Alligator mississippiensis: one gene and its partner. The protein of the gene in region 1 interacts with the protein of each later gene in a pairwise test. Links are inferred from orthologs where the notes say so. Each region holds a gene or a part of one and is shown on either strand. Other genes may lie near its edges.

What was found.
Region 2: the proteins of QKI (region 1) and SNRPA interact in binary tests that used the Homo sapiens proteins (3 or more experiments, as listed by UniProt). The link is inferred for Alligator mississippiensis from reciprocal best matches to the Homo sapiens genes QKI and SNRPA.

What each region holds. Positions count from the first base shown.
Region 1 is NC_081824.1:140,776,722-140,786,494, forward strand, and holds the start of QKI (KH domain-containing RNA-binding protein QKI), read left to right. Parts: upstream 1-5,163; 5' UTR 5,164-5,553; coding exon 5,554-5,695; intron 5,696-9,773. UniProt on the Homo sapiens protein: RNA reader protein, which recognizes and binds specific RNAs, thereby regulating RNA metabolic processes, such as pre-mRNA splicing, circular RNA (circRNA) formation, mRNA export, mRNA stability and/or translation.
Region 2 is NC_081838.1:2,383,887-2,393,210, reverse strand, and holds SNRPA (U1 small nuclear ribonucleoprotein A), read right to left. Parts: upstream 3,857-9,324; 5' UTR 3,750-3,856; intron 3,440-3,749; 5' UTR 3,429-3,439; coding exon 3,356-3,428; intron 3,261-3,355; coding exon 3,088-3,260; intron 3,005-3,087; coding exon 2,828-3,004; intron 2,713-2,827; coding exon 2,542-2,712; intron 2,102-2,541; coding exon 2,013-2,101; intron 1,921-2,012; coding exon 1,761-1,920; 3' UTR 1,395-1,760; downstream 1-1,394. Other genes in the region: ACTMAP (actin maturation protease), read left to right, coding at 4,182-4,381, 4,498-4,566, 4,712-4,836, 4,942-5,071, 5,343-5,413, 5,681-5,991. UniProt on the Homo sapiens protein: Component of the spliceosomal U1 snRNP, which is essential for recognition of the pre-mRNA 5' splice-site and the subsequent assembly of the spliceosome. U1 snRNP is the first snRNP to interact with pre-mRNA.

The DNA of each region.
Region 1 (9,773 bases):
CGGGGGGGGGGGGGGGGGGGTGGATCCAGCCTTCAGCTGTGTGGAACAGCAGGGACAGGATGCTGTTGCTAGAGCAGGTGTCAGAACCAAGAGGCAGGTTAACTCTTCCCTGGCCCCATAACTGCTGCAGTTATGAGACCAGTGAGGATCTAAAATCCTGAATTTGGCAGTCACTGAGGGGCCAGAAAAGGGTTATCTTTCCTCTCTGCAGTGACACCTGACACCTCTTTCCTAAGTTTCCTGCCTTTCTCCATGCTCTGGAGGCTTAAACCCTCTGCCTCCATTTCAGCACCTCCCTTTACTGAGCACCTTCCCCTCTCACTCATGGCATGTGGGCCATGGACTGGCCACTCCTGAGCTACACTATTTCACTGGAAGTGGTTCCTCCAGATCACAATTAAAGTATACCAAGTGAGGCAAGTTGGGGACAACTGTACTATCCCTGCTGAACTTAACACTACTCTATTATTACAAAAGTTAGTTCTTCAGAACTGACAATTTGACAAGCTCTAAATTCACTTAATTATTAAAACAGAGAGAGCCCACTCACTCAATGATGTTCATAAAGCATTCTTCAAGCACTTTAAGATCATAAGTCATTCTTAGAGTTGAATATGGAAACTTTAATTTAGCAAGTGTATATTATAACTTGCATCTAAAAATGACCTAATTATAGCAGCCTGAAGACCAACTTGTCTGTATGATAGACAGTTTAGTAGGCTTTTCTAATATGTGAACGGTTTGCCAAGGACGGGGGAACCCTTTAAACTTGCAAAAAGCAAAACAACCTGTTTCAATTTTAACACTGATCTGACATCAGGTGCAGGAAGACACAAGAGCCGGTGGCAGAACACTTCAACTTCCCTGGACCACAGGATTGCTGTTCTCAGGCAAAACAAAACAAAAAAAGAAAAAAAAAAGCAGTTTGAACAAGAAATTGTAGAACAAGAAATCATCCACAGGCTGGACTGTGCGAAGTATGGTTTAAGCAGGGACTATAGATTCTTATCGCATTACCTAGATTCACTTTCCTGACCCCTTTGTTCCTATAGGTTCTTTGCTTGTAAGCCTCTCCTAGCATCCCTCCTCCCCCTGCTTTCCTGCCTATTGTATTCTAATCACTTCATACTCTACTTCTCATTCGACTTTCACAGAATTTGATGAAGTGAATGTGGGTTCATGAAAGCCTGTACTATATATATCTTATTTAGTTAGGCTATGAAAGGCAGAAGGCAGGGTAGATATGCACCTCTAACAGCCATGCTTCGAATATAGGTGACATACTACTGAAGAATCTAAATGAAGAAACTGAGATTTCAACTTTGCTATCCCCTCTCTGGGAACAGAACTAATATTGTATATAATGAACGTTACTGAATAGGGGGACATTCAGCCTAATTCAGGGGTGGGCAATTATTTTGGGTGGCGGGTCACTTACCAAGTTTTGGTGAGTTGTCAAGGGTTGCGCACAGAGAATATTTCATAAGATAGCATTTTAACAAATTATAGATAAAAAAATCCTATACTGAAAATCAAATATCTATTTCACTTCCAGTGAAATAGTGTAGCTCAGGAGTGGCCAGTCCATGAATAGGGGGAACATGCAGCAGACCTACCTCCAGGGGGGGCATGATGCACAGGGGCGGGCAATTATTTTGGGTGGAGGGCTGCTTAACGAAGTTTGGTGAGCTTTCAAGGGCCACATGGGTAGCCCTTCCCCTTGAAAGTTGCTGCCCCCCCCACCCCGTTGCCATCTTGGGACCAGATGTTCCACCCATGACCCTTGACCCCCAACTTTTCCACTAGAAGTCCCTCCCCTTGCCTCCTGGAAATATTCCTTTTTGGAGGGGGGGCATTGCCATCTTAAAACCAGAAAAAAAACAAATTGTACACTAAAAGTCTAACACCTACTATAATATATATGAATTTTATTATAAGAAATACTTTTGTCATGATTTGGGTTTGTGTACTATAGAGAGGATTGCATAATAACTAAAACATACATTCTTAGTCTTGGATATTGTGTGTGGGAGGTGTGGTTGGGGTATGTGTGGGGTTGGGGATGTGGTTGGGGGTGTGTGTGTATGGTGGGGTGTGTGGGGAAGTTGTGTGGGTGTGGCTGTGTGTGGGGGTATAGGGTATGTTAGAGGGTGTGTATATGTGGGAAGGTGTGGGTGCAGGGTGTGGGTGGGTGAGTGGCATTTGTGGGGTGTGAGGAAAGGTGGTGGGACATGGGGATTCCCACCCTACACTCCTACCATGGTGCAGCAGCAGGCAGGGGCGCTCGGGGCTCCTGTGCCTGGCGGAGGTGCTGATGCCTGGCGGCCCGTGGCTCCAGCCAGCACTGCACATTGCGGTGAGTGGCGCAGTCCGCACCAGGCTGTCTCTATCGCTGGTGCTTCCCATCGTGCACCTGGAGGCCTCACAGTTGTACAGCACAGGAGGGAAGCCTCATAAGGAGTGGGGGTTCCTTCCTGTGCCAGGCTGTGTATGTGTGGTGGGGAACACTGGTGATAGAGATGGCCCGGCAGGGGTTGTGCTCCTCACCATGATGTGTAGTGCTGGCTAGAACCACATGCTGCTGGTCACCAGTCCCTGTGCCGGGCACACACGCCCCTGCCTGCTGCTGCTGCTGCCTGCTGGGCCTGTGTACCATGAGTGGAACATGGGGGGTCCCCCTACCCCCCACCCTCCCTCACACCCACATGCTGCCCACCCAAGCTCTGTGCTGCAGGCCTCTCTGGGTGCTGGCTTCATGCTGCCGCCAGCTCCAGCCCCACACTCCTGCCTAGCTGCAGCTTTGCCTTCATCCCTGCCACTTCCCTACCTGGTGTCTGGAGCAAGCAGGATGCCTGGGAAGCCAAGAAGGTTCCTAGTGGCCGCAGCAGCCCCGCCTGAAAGCTGTGTCTTCCACCCTTGAGGGTAGGAGCGAGTAGCAATAGAGTATTTTGGGGGGTGTATACATGGGTTCCTCGCTCCCACCCACATGGGTGGAAGGGCTGGGTGGGGTAAAATTAATTGGTGGATGCCGTGGGTTAGATGGAAGTGCGTGGCAGGCTAGATCTGGCCTTATTTTGCCTGCCCCTGGTGATGCAGGTGTGTTTTCCCCCCGCTGTCTCATCCAGCCCATGGCTGCCCTCATGGTACGCCACATGGGGCTGAGCACCACCTGCTCTACACTCCTGCTCACACCCATCAATGGCACTGCCCAGCCCTGGCCAGTGCACAGGTTGTTAGTAGGGCTGCTCCTGGAGCTGCCTGGGTACTGCTTGGCTCCCCCTGCCTACAGCAGCTCCTCCTTCTGTGCTTGCTGTGCCACTCCAGGCATGGGGGAGGCTGCAGCTGGGTGGCTCCTGCCACAGCATGCAGGGCTCCAGCTCCCAGCCACCTTCCACGTGCTCAGCTGCCTGCAGGTGGCTGCTCATTGCACTGGGTGGGCAGAGCAGGTGGAAGGGGGCCAGGAACTGGAGCTGGAGCCCCTGCATGCTGAGGCAGGCGCTGCCTGGCTGCAGCTTTCTCCACTCCTAGCTGGGCATGTGGTGCCTAGCATGTCCCCACAGCTTCCCCATGCTACCTGCTGCCCAGAGCAGCACAGCTGGAACAGGAGGAGGAGCTGTTGGAGGCAGTGGGAGCTGAGCAGTATATAGGCAGCTGCAGCAGCAGCAGTGGGAACAGCCCCACCAGGAAGCTGTACATGCTGGCTGGGACTGTGCCTTAATGGGTGTGGGTGGGAGCGTGGCGTGGACCGCCCTGGATGGGCATGGGTGGGCTCAGCCCCATGAAGAGCAACACGGGCCGAATCCAATCAGTTGGCAGCATTGTGGCCAGGCGTATGATAATTATATCTGTATGATGATTTCAGCTCTTGTACAATGTACAATCAAGAATACTAAGTGTTCAACATGTACTGGGCAGGCAAGGCTCTTTGGGTAGATGTGATATCTTTTATTAGATCAACTGAATAGTTGGAAAAAAGGTCTTAGCAAGCTTTCAGGCGCAGTTGCCCTTCATCAGGCACAGGGAGTCTCTGCTGGGCTGAAGCTCCAAGGAGTGAGAGAAGCTAAAAGTGTAGAGGGTTGTCAGTGAAACTGACCCAGTAAAATGTACTATTATTTTCAAGGCAGCGTGTCCATGTAGCCTGTGCAAAACTCAAGTCACTCTCAGGGAGTCTCACCTGACTTTGAGGTCAGTGCTTTCTTATGACGGCTCGCCTCAAAATAAAGCTTCAACTTTGATCCAGTTCTCAATAACTCCCTCATCGGCATGTTACAGCGAACAACATAAAGTGAAGAGGACAACTTAACTTATTTGCATATGTATTTGCATAGTTTTTCAGCAAATCCGACCCTTTCGGGCTTCCAATATGATAATTTCATCTGCAAGACCTAGGCGCGCTGGCTGCATGCGGCCCGTGGGCCATATTTTGCCCATCTCTAGCCCAACTCCTCCTTACGCCCGTCCCTTTAATGTCGGGGGGGCATTAGGACGGGAGAAAAATTGAGGAAGGGCTACGCCTTTTTTTTTTGGTCAGACGTGAGAAGCATTAGAGGCTCGAGGCCTGCAGCCCCTCAGCCCAGTGGGGCGCGGGGCCCCCACCCCACCCCACCCCGTCCGCCCGGCTGAGAGGGGAGAAGTAGCGTGGGAGGGGCCCCACAACCTCCCCACTTTAAAGGCTGCCAGTCGCGCCACTCCCGCGGCGCGCATGCGCACTGCCCCCTTTCCGCTCGCGCACTATGCAAGCAGCGTGCGAAGGCGGCGGCGCGCATGCGCCCGCTCCTCTCCTCCCGTCATACGTCACGCCGCCCCGCCCCGCCCCGCCCCGCCTTCCACCCACCCAAGCAGAATCAGTAGCAGGGGCGCGTTCAGAAAGTACTTCCCCACCCCTGCGTCACGCAGCGCCCTTCACGTGCCGGGTCAGAGCCGCGAAGAACACCCCCCCTTCCCACTCCAGTGTGCGCACGCGCGCACGGCGCCGCCCGTTGGAGTTGCGCGCGGCGCCGGAGGGGGGGGGCACAGAGGGGGGGGCGGTCCCCGCCAAGTGGCGCCGCTCGCTCGCGCTGCTCCCCGCCTAACGGCCGCCCCGCCCCTGCGCCCGCCCCCGCTCCTCCCCCCCGCCGCCGCGGCTGCCGCTGCCGCTGTCGGTGCAGCCTGAACTGAAGCGAACTCCGGAGCGAAGTGAGGAGAAGTGAGGAGGCGGCGGCGAGGCTAACACTCACCAGCCACAGGCGGCGGCGGCGGCAGCGGCGGCGGGCGGGCGGGCGGGCGGGCGGAGGCACCCAGCGCAGCGGCGGCGGCTCCCGGGAAGGGCGGCAGGAAGGAAGGAGCGAGCGGCGGCCGCGCACCCCGGTTGGAGCGAGGGGCATCGCCGAGGCCAGAGCCGGGTCGATTTGCCCGGGCGCGGGGCCGCCGCGGAGTAGTCCCCGCCGCCCGCCCGCCCGGCCGACCCAGCCCAGGGGGGCCCCGAGCTCGTGTCTCTCGCTCGCTCGCTCCTCGCGGCCGCCTCCGGGGCGGGCCGGGCGGGCGGGCGGGGGGCGCCGGCGGCGCGCTTGGAATATGGTGGGGGAAATGGAAACGAAGGAGAAGCCGAAGCCGAGCCCCGATTACCTGATGCAGCTCATGAACGACAAGAAGCTGATGAGTAGCCTGCCCAACTTCTGCGGGATCTTCAACCACCTCGAGAGGCTGCTGGACGAAGGTAAGACCGGCCTCACGCCGCCTCCCCCCTCCCCCCTCCCCCCTCCCCGGCTGGCCTCGGCGGGAACAAAGGGGAAGTGAGGGGCTGCAAGGCCCCGGGGGGGCGCCCCTTCCTCAGCGCACTTAAGTTGGAAGGCGGCGCCCGCGGGACAGGACGGGACGGGTCGGGAGGGCTGTCCCGGGCCTGGCGGCCTCGGGCCGGGCCGGCCCCACGGCGGGGCAGTGATCTCATGTGGAAATAACGTGCGCGGCGCTCGCAGCTCCTCGTCCCGGGCGGGGCTGGGGGAGGGGGTGGGGTGTTTGTGTGGTTAAGTGTGTGTGTGTGTTTGCGTGTTTGCTTGCGGCCAGAGGGGAGTCTATGGTTTGCAAGGAGGGGGGTGTGTGTGTTTGGGGCTGGAAGGGTATGTATATGTGTGTGTGGCTGGTGGGGAGGGTGTGTGTGTGTGTGTGTGTGTTTATTTGCAGCTAGAGGGGGGAGTCTGTGTCTGTGGCTCGGAGGAGGGGTGTGTGCATGTGTGTTTGGGGCTGGAGGGAAGGGTGTGTGTGTGGTCTTTGGGGCTGGAGGGGTGTGTGTGTGTGTGTGTGTTCCTGCTTTCAGAGAGGTTTTAGCTTCCCTGCTTGGGCTGCACAGATTTCTTTCTTTTTTTTTCTCTCTCCCTATTCCTGCTAGGGAAAGGGGGCCCAACATGGAGACCTGCTCTGTAGAATGACACTCTTGCAGGCGTTCCTCTCTGTGCAGGAGTGGGAGGTTTTGTCACAGTTCCAACTTCCATGGTGTTTTTTTTTTCTTGGGGGGGTGGGTCTTAAGCAGTTGAGGCATTTTGAGGGTTTGGGGCCCATGGGGTTTGTGCTGGCATTTGCATTTTGTTTGCTTAAAATGGAGTAAAGCGGCCAGTTCGGGGAAGGAGTCAGGGTTTAAGAGGAGGAAAAAATCCACATGTAAGAATGTGGTTGTGGGACCACGTAGGGGTGGGTGGGTGGGTGGGTGTGTGTGTGTGTGTGTGTGTGTGTGTGTGTATGTATGTACGTACACACACACACCCACCCACCCTTCCTCAGTTAATGAGAGGAATGGATGGGAGATGAAAAGGGCACTTGAAGTATTTAAAAACAAAATTGGACTTGAAGCAGCAGCATAGGTCTGGATGTTTTTAGTTCTGTGCTTCTGAGGGCTCAGTTTAGTTTTCAGATCTAGGCTGGCCATGCATGGATGTCAGAAGGAAAATTGTAACGTACAGTTAGGGTCACCCTGATCTTCAGAAGGTTAATTAGTAAGGAAAATATTAATTCAGAAGAAACTGGATCAACAAGATGCATTTTAAGCATCAATAATCTTCCCAGAGGCTTGATGGTGGATTTTTAAAATCCCATACCCCTTTCAAGTTCGTATAATCTCAGAAGGAGGCGGCCTACAAAGTTGGTCTGTCCTGAGAACAAAAGGGAGAGAAACATCTCCAGTGTCAAAAGGTATTGAAAGAGGAGGTATATATGAGGTCACTGCATCTTTTGAATTTTGTTGAATCCTGGAAGTCTCTGGTTTAGCAGAGTTTCATAAACCCGAGACAAACACTGGAACCAAAGTTTATTTTGAAGTTATTGAGGAGTCAGGCTGTTCTTTACCCATTCCTCCTCCCCCCTCTGCCAGACTTTTATTTTGTACTACATGGCCCAAGGAAAAGTTCTGCTATCCCTTTAAGTTGTCTTGCTTTTTCCTGTTTGTGTTGGTGCTTGGCTGGAAGAGTTGTGGAGGCAGAAAACTTTTTGGAATGTCAAAAAAATGTTGCATGCAAATCCAGTGAAATATATGAAGGTTTCAAAATGTGAACACTAAGGGGCGCCAGTTATTTTCTTTTTCTGAAAGATGAGAATGGATTTGTAAGATCTTTACTAACTTAATACTAAAATTAGCAGCTTTACTAGAAGACAGTGAAATTTGAGGATTTTTGGACTTAAAATTTGTGCTTATGTATCTTAGGAAAATACCACATTAATACTGTGCATAAAACCCTAGTGAGCACACCTTGGAAAAGTTTAGGCAATTTTTTTATACAACAGGCATGATAGGGCTGGAAGAAATACTAAAATCTCTGCTCTGGGAACAGAAGGAACATTTCCACCACAAGCAATATCAGATTTCATGTTTCTTAGTGTATTAGGAAGAGGCCTCAGAGAGAGAGAGAGAGAAAGAGAGAGAGTATTTATTTTGAGGCACAATAATTAAAGTACTTTAAAAATTACTTTTATATCACTGTCAAATGTATTTTGCAAAGTAACACCTGATTATTTACAGGACATTTAGAGGGGAAGGAATAAGAGAAAAGGAGTTGAAGTAGTCCGTCCCTCCCCCCCCCGAAATAATTTGGTTTAGTTATTTGTTTTACTTTTTCAACAGATTAATTTGCATTTTAGTAGGGAGATTCAATCTGGGATATCTTTTAAAAAGTTATCACAGAACATGGAATACAATCCATGTTAACTTGGAGATCCTATACATGCTTTTGGAGTAGTAAAACTGTAAGAATTAGCAGTGTCGTCTATTGTTTGCAGAAGGGGCCTCTTGGACTAGGGAGTCCAGTTTTCTGCTTCTGCCCTCTTAATTAAAGAAAGAACGTTTACATAAAGTCCTGAGAAATCCTGATTTTTTTTTTGATTTTTTTTTTAGAAAAGAATTCGAGAATTATTTTTGCTGATTAGATTTTTTTTTTTTTATATGCACGTGGCAGTATTTAAAAAGAACACATGGGTTTGCATTTGATCTTATATGGTTTGCCAGATCAGAAGCAGAAATTCAAACAGGCATAAAATTATTGCCTTGGCGTTTTTTGGAGTTTGTTTTACTTTATTTTAGGATTTAGACATATAATTACATGGCACACAAAATATCTCTTACTATGAACTTCATTATCTAAAACATCTCCCCATTTTCAATGTTTTTCTGAATCTTGATCTCAAAACATGATGAAAGTAAAATTTGATAACTTTTTTTTTTAATACAAGCACAGTTACTGTTCAATACTACAGTAAACTCTTAAAGTTAAGATTGTGCAGGTTGATTAAAAATGCACCTTGCTTGGAAGATGCATTAACATTGTTTTTGCTCATCTTACAATTATTTTTCAAATTGTAGTCTTTTCATCTCCATAAGCATAAAGAATGCTTTTGTAGATTATCAAGGATGTTTAAAATGGACAGCATAATAAGTAGGAAGTTAGATTGTTTTTATCAGACTAGTGCAAACCTGTGGGAAGAGGGGGTGCTTCCTGACTGGAGTGGGCTGTATTTCCTGTAATTGTTTGCACCATCAGATGTGACCTGAATTTTCTGCACTTCAGTTCTAGTTTCTGAGATACTTGCACCTTATTTTAAGCTACACAATGGGCATTTTTTGTAGCTTAGTTTTCCTGCTGCTTTTAAAATATGTCTCATTGCACAAAATGAATACGTTATTCATTGTTTCTTGTAGTTCATGGTTATTTAACAATATATACATGTTGAATTTTGTAAATATATTCCAAGCTTTTAAAATAAATGAAAGCTACTCTGCTCATACTTTTAAAAGATGCAGTACAAAGTTCTTAAACTACAACTGGCTTGAACAAGTTCATCTTTTTTACTGTTTTGAGAAGGATAAAAAGTTTATTCTGGCCATAACTGTTTGTAGCTCTACATAGAAAATGCTACACTTGAACATTGTGATATACAGTTAGTAAGAATGCTCAATTTAGCAAACTTGAAGGTTGTTAGTATTTGTTGTTTGTCAGTAATCATGAATTAGAGGGGTGGTATCAAATCTTAATTTGCTGTTTAAGAACAATTTCCTATTTTTTTTTTTTGGTAGTGTGGATTGTAAGGTGACTGGAGCATGCACTGCTAACAGTATCTAGTGTAAAGCAAGTTCATGTGGATTCCTGTCAAGAATGACCACTTTTCTTGCATTCCCCTTTTTATTTGTTAGCTGTACCATGTAAATGTCTTGCTTCACACTTGCTCTTAAGCGTATGAGTTTATCCGTAACAATTTTCCGTCAAAAGCAGGGGTGCAGGGGGTGTTTGTACACCTTTAAAATTGATAAACCGAGT
Region 2 (9,324 bases), on another chromosome or scaffold:
CTGTGAAATGTCTCCCTCCCACTCTGCTTTTGGCCCGGGCAGGAGCCGTGAACCTGAGGGCTGGAGCAGAGATGCGGAGCCAGGGGCCGGCCCAGGGAACAGCAGCAGCCGCCCCTGCCACGGAGCAGCCCCAGCACAGTGGGGCCCTTGTCTGCTCTTCCCAGCGGCAAAGGGGCTGGGGGTAGGAGGGGAAAAGCAAGACCTCCTCCAGGCTCGGCTCCTATTGGGCTAGCCGGCTGGGAGGGGGGAGCCCAGAGAAGCCCCACAAGCAGGCAGGGACACAGAACCACCCGCTGTGCCCCCCCACCATGCTCTGGAGGGCAGGGCTATGAGTTAGAGACCTCAACACGTTGAAGGAATGGGCCAAAATAAATCTCATGAGGTTCAACAAGGACAAGTGCAAAGTCCTGTGCTTCGGGCACAATCCCCTGCACCGGGACAGGCCAGGGGCGACTGGCTGCTCTGCAAAGGACCCGGGGGGGGGGACGGGGACAGGAAGCAATAAGCTGAACAGGAGCCAGCAGTGTGCCCTCGTTGCCGAGAAGGCAAATGGGATCCTGGGCTGCATTGGTAGGAGCAGTGCCAGCAGGTCGAGGGCAGTGTCTTCCCTCTATTCGGCACTGGGGAGGCCACATCTGGAGTCCGGTGTCGTTTTGGCCCCCCCCACTACAGAAAGGATGTGGACATACTGGAGAGTCCAGCAGAGAGCAATGAAAATGCAGGGCTGGGGGACAGGACTGGTGAGGAGAGGCTGAGGGAAATGGGCTGATTCAGTCTGCAGAAGAGAAGACTGAGGGGGATCGACTAGCAGCCTTCACCTCCCTGCAGGGGGGTGCAAAGAGGATGGAGCTGGACTGGTCTCAGTGGGGGCAGATGACAGGAGCAATGGGCTCAAGCTGCAGCAAGGGAAGTTGAGGTTGGATACTAGGAAAATGAGGCTGGCGAAGAGAGGTGGGATGATGCAGTTGGGGCTGGTCCTGCTTTCAGCAGGGGGCTGGACCAGGTGTGACCTCTTGGGGTCCCTTCAACCCTCATTTTCTGAGTGTATGCTTTGCTCCCCCCAGCATGTTTGAGCCCCCAGTTCAGGGCAGCAGTGCACAGAGAAGGGGCTGGTGGGGGCTCTGTATGTTTCCCTTGAAGAATAAGGTGTTGCAGGGGCTGGCTCCATAGACGGACTGTCCCCATCCCCATTGCTGGCAGTGGCTGCGCTCCCAGCCCCGTTAGATGCCCTCGTGGCCAGCCAGTCCACGGCGCAAAATCCCGGGATCAGGTAGCAGCTGCTGGAACAGCAGGGAGACTGGGGTGTCCCAGCAGGACCAGTGGGCAGTGCACCCCGAAGCGCCCCCCACCCAGCACCTGGACCCGGGTGAAGGAAGGGGCAGCACCCACCGACCTCTAAAACAAAACAACTTTATTACACAGCGGGAAGCTCCAGGTGCAATGTCTGAGCACCAGACCCTGGGTACAATGCTTTCCATGAGGCCATCAACTGTCTCCCTGCCCTCCCCCACCCACCCGGTCCCGGTCTCCAGGGGCTGCCTTGCTCTACCAAGGCTGGCTCAGCTGCTGGTGGGCATCCGGGGCACTTACCCGCTGGGAGCAAGGGGCTGCTGCGAGTCAGGCACGGTGCATAAGGCTCTGGGTGCCAGGATGGGCCAGCCTGGGAGCACTTACCTGACAGTCAGTACAAACAACATGGGGAGAAAGGGGAATGGGGGCAGCCCTGAGGGATAAGACCGGGACGCGGGGAGGCCATGGCCTCACTTCTTGGCGAAGGAGATCTTCATGGCATTGTTCTGGGTGATCTTGAAGCCCTGGAGGGCGTCGCGGGCGGCCCCGGCCTGCACCTCGTTATCGAACTCCACGAAGGCGATGTCGTGGCGCCCTGGCACCAGCCGCACTTCCTTGAACCCGGGGAACCTTGCAGGGGAGGAAGGGGGAGCAGTGAGGGGCAGCCTCGGCTGCTGGCACCGTCGCTTCCCGCCCCAGCCCCCCTCTCCCCCTAGACTCACTGGTTGAAGAGCATGGAGAGCATCAGCTCGTTGGTCTCCTCGGGCAGGTTGGTGAGGAAGAGGATGTGGTTGGGTGGATTCTCTGAGACCTGCGGGGAGAGGGGCCGGTCGGAGCGGGGAGGGCGGGGGCTGGCATCCCCCTGGCCGGCCGGATGCAAGCAGCACCAAGTCCAAGGACCCGCAGCAGGGACAGGCACTTGCCAGCATAAAGTCCTCCCGCAAGACGAGAATCAAGACTGGCAAAGACGTCACCAGCCAAGCTCCAGCAGGGCCGGCTTCTCCAGGACAGGGACCTGCAGCCCTTAGGCACCCCATAGCCCCAGCCCAGGTGGCATTAGAGCAAGGAGCTCAGCACCAGGTCCTGCTGCCCCCAGCCCCAGCCACGACAGCAAGGCCACGACTCCACTCGCCCCTGGGGAGAAGGGTCCTTCGCCCTCCCCTGCAACAAGGAAGCTTCACCATCCGGAGCCACGGGTGAGTTTGGACAAGACCGAGGGGAGCCCGAAGCCCGGGCACACGCGGCACTCACCGGCTGGGCAGGAGGCATCTGGCCGGGCATCATCTGCTGAGGGGCCATGCCGCCGGGCGCCATGCCTCCGGGAGCCATGCCGGGCGGCGGGATCATGCCGGGCGGGGGCATGTAGGGCGGCTGGCCTGGCATGTGGTGCATCATGCGGGGAGCCTGGTTCATCGCCATCCCCTGCAGGCGGAGGAGAGGACAGCGGCTTAGCCGCAAGGTCCCCGTGCCGGGCACGGCCGTAGCACCCCTGGATGCCAAGAGGGCCCGGCGGGGGCCGCCCCAGGCCTTGACTCACCGGCACGGCGCCCTGCACGGCGTTGGCCACGGGGGCGGCCGCTCCCGGCATGGCCTTCTTGGTCGTCGGCGTCTCCTGGCCCTTGGGCTTCCTCTTCTCCCGCTTGCGGTCGCGCTCCACGTAGGTGCCCTTCATCTTGGCGATGATGTCCGAGTCCGTCTTGGCGTACTGGATCCTCTGGGGAGCAGAGGCCGGGTCAGCGCGGGCGGGGGACGACACCGCCTGGGTCCCCCCCCCGGGCCGCGGGCCCCCGCGCTCACCATGGGCTTGTCGTAGAAGGGGAAGCCCTGCATGGAGCGCAGGGCGTTGGTGGCGCTGCTGATCTCCTTGAAGATGACGAAGGCCTGGCCCCTCATCTTGAGGCTGCGCGACACCAGGATGTCCAGGATCTGCCCGAACTGGGAGAAGATGGCGTACAGGGACTTCTTCAGCTCTGGGGGAGGCAAACGTGGTGGGGGGGGTTAGGCATGGACCCGGCGGGGGTGTCCCGTCCCCCCCCCACCCGGTGCCATCCCTGGGGCCCCTCACCGTCCTTCTTGATCTTCTCGTTGAGGTTGTTGATGTAGATGGTGTGGTTGGGGCGGGCTTCCTGCACGGCCATGGCGGCGGGGTCTGCGGGGGGGGAGCGCGGGGGTCAGCTGGGGGGGAGGGGGTCCTGCCTCCTAAGGGGTCGTGGCCCTTTAAGGGCAGGCCCCGCAGCAGCCCGGACCCAGGGGCACCCCGGGGAGGGGGGGCACCTGGCCCAGACGCCCCCTCCCCCCAGGAGGCGGCTCCACCGGAAGTGGAGGGCTCCCCGTGGCAATGGGAGCTCCCCCAGAAGGGAGGCCTGTGGGGGGGGGCTCTCGGCTCTCCCCCCTCCCCGGAAGTGCCCCCCCAAGAGAGGGCAGCCCGGATGGGGGTCCCGCGGCCCCCCCGCTCTCACCGACGCCGCCGGGCCCGTGGCGCAGCGCGGCCGCCGCAGCGAAAGGGCGCGCGGAGACTGGCCCCGCTCCCTCGGCGCGGGCGGACCAATGGGAGGGCCGCAGCCTCCCCCTGACGAGCCTATCGATGCGGGGCGTCGGGCAGCCAATCCGCTCTGTCCCCACCCCGTCCCTCCCTCCCTCAGCGAACGGGCCAATCCGAGGGCTCCTCTCCGCCCCCGAGCCGGCAGCTGGCTGTCAGTCAAGGCCGCGGCCGCTTCCTATTGGCCGGCCGCGCTCCACGGCGCGAGGGCACATGACCGCCGCGAGGCCCCCTCCACGGGCGCCGCCATCTTGGGCGGGCAGCGCGACCCCGTCCCCCTCCCCCAGCGAGGTCATGCCCTTTGCCCTCTGACCTCTGGCCAATCTCCCTTTGCCCCCCCTTCCCCCTGCCCATGGCCCATAAGGGCGGGGTGGGGTTGCCCCCTCCTGCCCCACCCCCTCCCCCTCGTCCTCCCCCACCCCCATCCCTGCCTCCCCTGCCCCCATCGGGGGGCGCCAAGGCCCACTTCCTGAAGGCGGCCCTGGAGCGTGCGGCCCCCCCGCCCGGCACCGGGGATGACGTGCGGGAGCTGCTGGGGCACCGGCGCGCCAGGTCGGGGTCGCCACAGTGTGGTGGTGGGGGGTCTCGGGGCGGGGGGGGTAGCCCCCTTGCCCCCCGAGACGTCTCCCTGCACGGGGCGCTGAGTGCGGCGGGCGTCTCTCTTCCAGCTTCAGCGGGCGGCGGAAGTGGCTGCTGTACCACCGCCCCGTGCCGTCCTTGATCCAGGAGGGGCCCCAGTGAGTACCGCAGCCGCGGCAGCCGAGACCCCACAGGGGCCCAGGACAGCCGAGATGGCACAGGGGCCCAGGGTGCAGCCGTGGGGCTGGGGGAATGCCCCCCTCAGCCCTGGGACCCCCCTCGACCCCGGCCCCGTGCCCGCAGGTGCGGGCTGGTGGCGCTGTGGATGGCGGGCGCCCTCCTCCGCCTGCCCCGGAGCGTCTCGCTGGAGCGCATCGTGCAGGCGGCGCTGGACAGAGGCTACACGGCGCAGGGGGAGATGTTCTCAGGTCAGCCCCTGCCTGCCCCGGGTTGGCGTCGGAGATGCCCCGGCTCCGGGGAAGGGGTGACGGAGCCTGGAGCAGGGTCTGAGACACGTCCGCCTCCTCCCCCAGCGGCGGACATGGCGAAGCTGGCGGCAGAGGTGTTCCCGTGCCGGGCGGAGCTGCTCACGGGAGGCTTGGAGGGAGCCAACCGGGACAGGATCCTTTGCCACCTTGCTGCTGGCTGCCCCGTGCTGGTGCCGTATCCTTCTCCCACGTGGCCCTCCAGCCGGGATGGGCCCACGCAGCCGTGGCAGGCGGCGTCTGGGTCCCGCCGGGGGGGGGGGGGGGGTGATGTGTCCGCTGTGTCTTTGGAGGGGTAATGGGGGGGGCATCGTGGCTCTCCCTCCACCACCTCCAGGTCTCCCTCAGCCTCGCTCAATGCCCCCGGGCTGCGGAGGTGGCTCTGGGAGGGGTGGCGACGGCGTGGGCATCCCCTCAGGCCCCCCGCTGCAGCCTTGACGAGCGCCCAGCTACGACGAGGACTCTAACCACGAGCCCTGCCGCCGGCGCGGATACAAAGCCCACTGGGCTGTCGTTTCGGGTACGGTCCTGCCTGGCCTGGGTGCCACGGGGCTGGTGAACTGTGCCAGGGGTCTGGGAGCCGTGTCCGGCAATTGCCACGGGCTGGTCCTCACCCCAGGGCGTAGCGGGGCTCTTAGGTGCGGGAGTGCTCAAAGCCTTGGGGGGTGGAAATCTGTTTCAGACTGCGGCCCAGGGGGGGCAACAGCCCACCACCCCTTTGGGGCCAAAGGGCCACATCCTGCTGCTTCCAGGAGCGGAGCTGGGCTGACAGCCGCTGTGCCCGCAGGAGCCCTTCTGGGTCTGAGGCCCGATGCGCCAAGCCCGCCCTGCCGCGAGGACGAGGAGATCCCGGGGCTCTTCCACCCCCGGGGGCCGGGGCCCCTGCCGGCGGGCGTGGAGGAGACCTACCTGCTGGCCAAGCAAGGCAAGAGCTGGCGCTACCAGCTGTGGGGCTACGGGCAGCTGCAGGAGAGCAACGCTCAGCTGACGGACTTCAGCCCCCGGCGGGCGGGCGACGGCAAGGTCTACATCGTGCCCGCGGGCGGCCTGCAGGAGGGGCTGTGCGGCCAGGCCGTGCTGCTGCACCCCAGGCCCTGACGCCAGGTCAGCAGGGACGTGCCCAGCCCCGGACAGGGCCAAGGGGACGCCTGGGTTCCCCACCTTGAGCTCCAGGAGGTGAGGAGGGATCCCGGCCTCCTTTATCCGGTGCTCTGAGGCAGGAGGCACGCTGCCCCGCCAGGCAGGGAAGGGCACCTGGGGACCGGCCCGTGCTTCCCCGGGGAGGGAGAGGAATGCCAGCCTACACCTGCTCTGCTGCAGAAAGACCTGCGGCCAGATCTGCGGCTCCAGGATTGGGCTCAGAAGTCAGCTCAAGACCCGTCCACGAGCCGCGGTAGACCCAGGGACTGCTGGCACCCCGTTTATCCTAATAAACGCACTACTTACCTTCTGCCTTGCCCACGGCTCTCACGGTCCAGGGTCACACCACGGCTTCATTCGGTCGAGCGCTCTTCCTTTCCTAGCTGTTTTCTCCCTTTCGTGACTTGCCCGCTCCTCCTGCTTGGCCCTTTAGAGGCTGTTCCTATCCTTGAGTTGTGGTTATCGGGTATTGATTTAAAGCCCTGTCTGCATCGCTGAATCCTACAGCCGTGGGGATGGAAGGGAGCTTCAGAGGTCGCATCCAGTCTAGCCTCTGGCCGGAGGAAGGATCGGCCCTGTGCAAACCGGCCAGGACTAATCCAGCGTGTATCAAATACTGTTGATCCTGACACAGTGGATCTGACGCCAGAGTTTGCTGCAGGAAAAGCAGCGGGGCTGCAGCCGCCAACGTCGTGCTGCTGTGACCTGTCAGTAATTGCTGAAGAGCCCCCAGGCCGAGGCTGCACCCCCGCTACAGAGGGGACTGTGCCAGGCTGAGCATCTGCCCCAGTGCAATGTGGGGCTGAGCCTGAGCACAGGTGCGGGACCCTGCAGATTGCATTGGCATAGTCCGGTCCTCATCCCCAGCCTGAGCTGCAGGTAGCACCTCTGGGGGGGCTTAAAACCCCCCTGACACATGGACGGGGCGTCCCCCCACCGATGCCTGGTGTCCACCCTGCGGACCCCTGCTCTGCCCTGGAGGAAGTGTTTCTGTATCAGGTGGAGGGACCGGAGGCAGTTGTGTTCAGTGTCATAGATTCATAGATTGTCGAGTCAGAAGGGACCAAATGGATCATCGTGTCTGAGCCCCTGCCCCTGGCAGGAAAGAGGACCGAGGTCAGACGACCCCAGCCAGGTGACTATCTATCCTCCTCTTGAAGACCTCCAAGCTAGGTGAAAGCACCACCTCTCTTGGGAGCCCATTTCAGATCCTGGCCACCCTTACTGTGAAAAATTTCTTCCTAATATCTAACCTAAATCCCCTCTCAACTAGTTTACACCTGTTATTCCTAGTCACTCCCTGGGGCACCCTAGTAAACAGCACTTCCCCTATTCCCCGTTGACCTCCCCTAATAAATTTATAGGCGGCCACAAGATGTCCCCTCAGCCATCTCTTGTGAAGGCTGAAGAGAATCAGGTCTTTCAACCTCCCCCCGTAGGGTCTATCACGAAGGCCACTCATCATGCGAGTGGCCTCCTCTGGACCCTCTCCAGATTCCCTGCATCTCTCTTGAAGTGCGGCGCCCAGAGCTGGACACACTACTCCAACTGCGGCCTGGCCAGTGCCGCATAGAGGGGGAGCATCGCCTCCTTTGATCTATTAGTCATGCAGCTGCTAATGCACTTCAAGATGTGACTGGCCTTGTTGATGGCCTCGTTACACTGCCGGCTCATGTTCATCTTGGAGTCAATTATGACTCCAAGATCCCTCTCTGCCTCCGAGCTACTGAGAAGGACACTCCCCAACCTATAGGTGTGCTGGGGGTTCCTCCTTCCCAGGTGGAGTACCTTATATTTATCTTTATTAAATTGCATCCTATTTCTCTCTGCCCATTGATCCAACCTGTCCAGGTCAGCCTGAATCTGCTCCCTGCCCTCCTGTGTACTAACTTTGCCCCATAACTTGGTATCATCAGCGAACTTGGAGAGGGTGCTCTCCATGCCCTTGTCCAAATCGCTGATGAAGATATTGGATAATATCTGTTGGAGGACCGAACCCTGCGGGACCCCACTGCCCACCTCCCTCCAGGCCGAGAAGAAACCATCCACCACCACTCTGGTGCGGTCCCTAAGCCAGTTGGCCACCCACCTGACCGTGTAGGCGTCCACTCCACAGTCTGCTAGCTTCCCAACGAGGACAGGGTGCGAAACTGTGTCAAAGGCCTTCCTAAAGTCCAGGAAAATGACATCAGCCTCGGCTGGAAAGCAGGGTGAGTGCACACTCAGCACCTTCGCGGATGACACCGCGCTGGGGGGAGTAGCAGATGCGCTGGAGGGCAGGGCTGGGATCCAGAGGCTTTGACGACCAAAAGGAATCTCATGACTGAGGTTCAATTAAGGACAAGTGCAAAGTGCTGCGTTTAGGACAGAGCAGTCCCATGCACCGGGACAGGCTGGGGGTGACGGGCTGGGCAGCAGCTCTGCAGAAAAGGACCTGGGGCTGACAGTGGGCAATAAGAGGGATATGAGCCAGCAGTGTGCCCTTGTTGCGGCATCCTGGGCTGCATCGGTAGGAACGTTGCCAGCAGATTGAGGGCAGTGATTCTTCCCCTCTATGGGGCACTGGGGAGGCCACATCTGGAGTCCCTTGTCCAGCTGTGGGCTCCCCACGACAGAAAGGGTGTGGATACGTTGGAGAGAGTCCAGCGGAGGGCAAGAGCAGGGGGTTGGAATAGATGTGACCTAAGGGCCCCTCAAACTGAATTTTCTATGATCTCCAAAATCAATTCATTTTGCTGCCTCTTCCAGCCATGGCTCCGTGTCCTCCTCTCTGCCCTGGGGAGCGCAGGCGCTTGCCCTCCTTGCTGCAACTGCCCTTCGGATCCCTGCAGCCCGCTCCCAGGGCCCCTCCAGCGCCTTTTCCGCCGTCTGAACCAGCCCAGTGCCACCTGCTGCTCTGCTCCGCTCCTCCCCGCCTGGGCTGCACTTTCTGAGCCCATGGGCATCTTTGTTGCCGCCTCTGGACCCTTGTTAGCTTCTCCATGGCCTTGCTCAAAGCCTGGAGCCCACCCAGGCCTTGTCCCGGTGCCTCCCAAAAGCCTCTGATGGCATCCATCCCGTACCGAGGGTCCTCTCTTGCAGAGCAGCTGGGTGGCATGGACATCGGCAGCCATTTTTTTATGGTGCATTGCCCCCTCCCAGTCCCATGAGCTTGGCGCTGCCTGCACTAGCCTGGAGGAGCGGGCGGGCCTCCGTGCCAACCCCAGCAGCCGTGTGAGCTGGGCAGGCTGGGACACATGAGGGCCACCAGGGGGCGCCTTGTGCACATGGCACAGCCGGAGCTGCGGATCC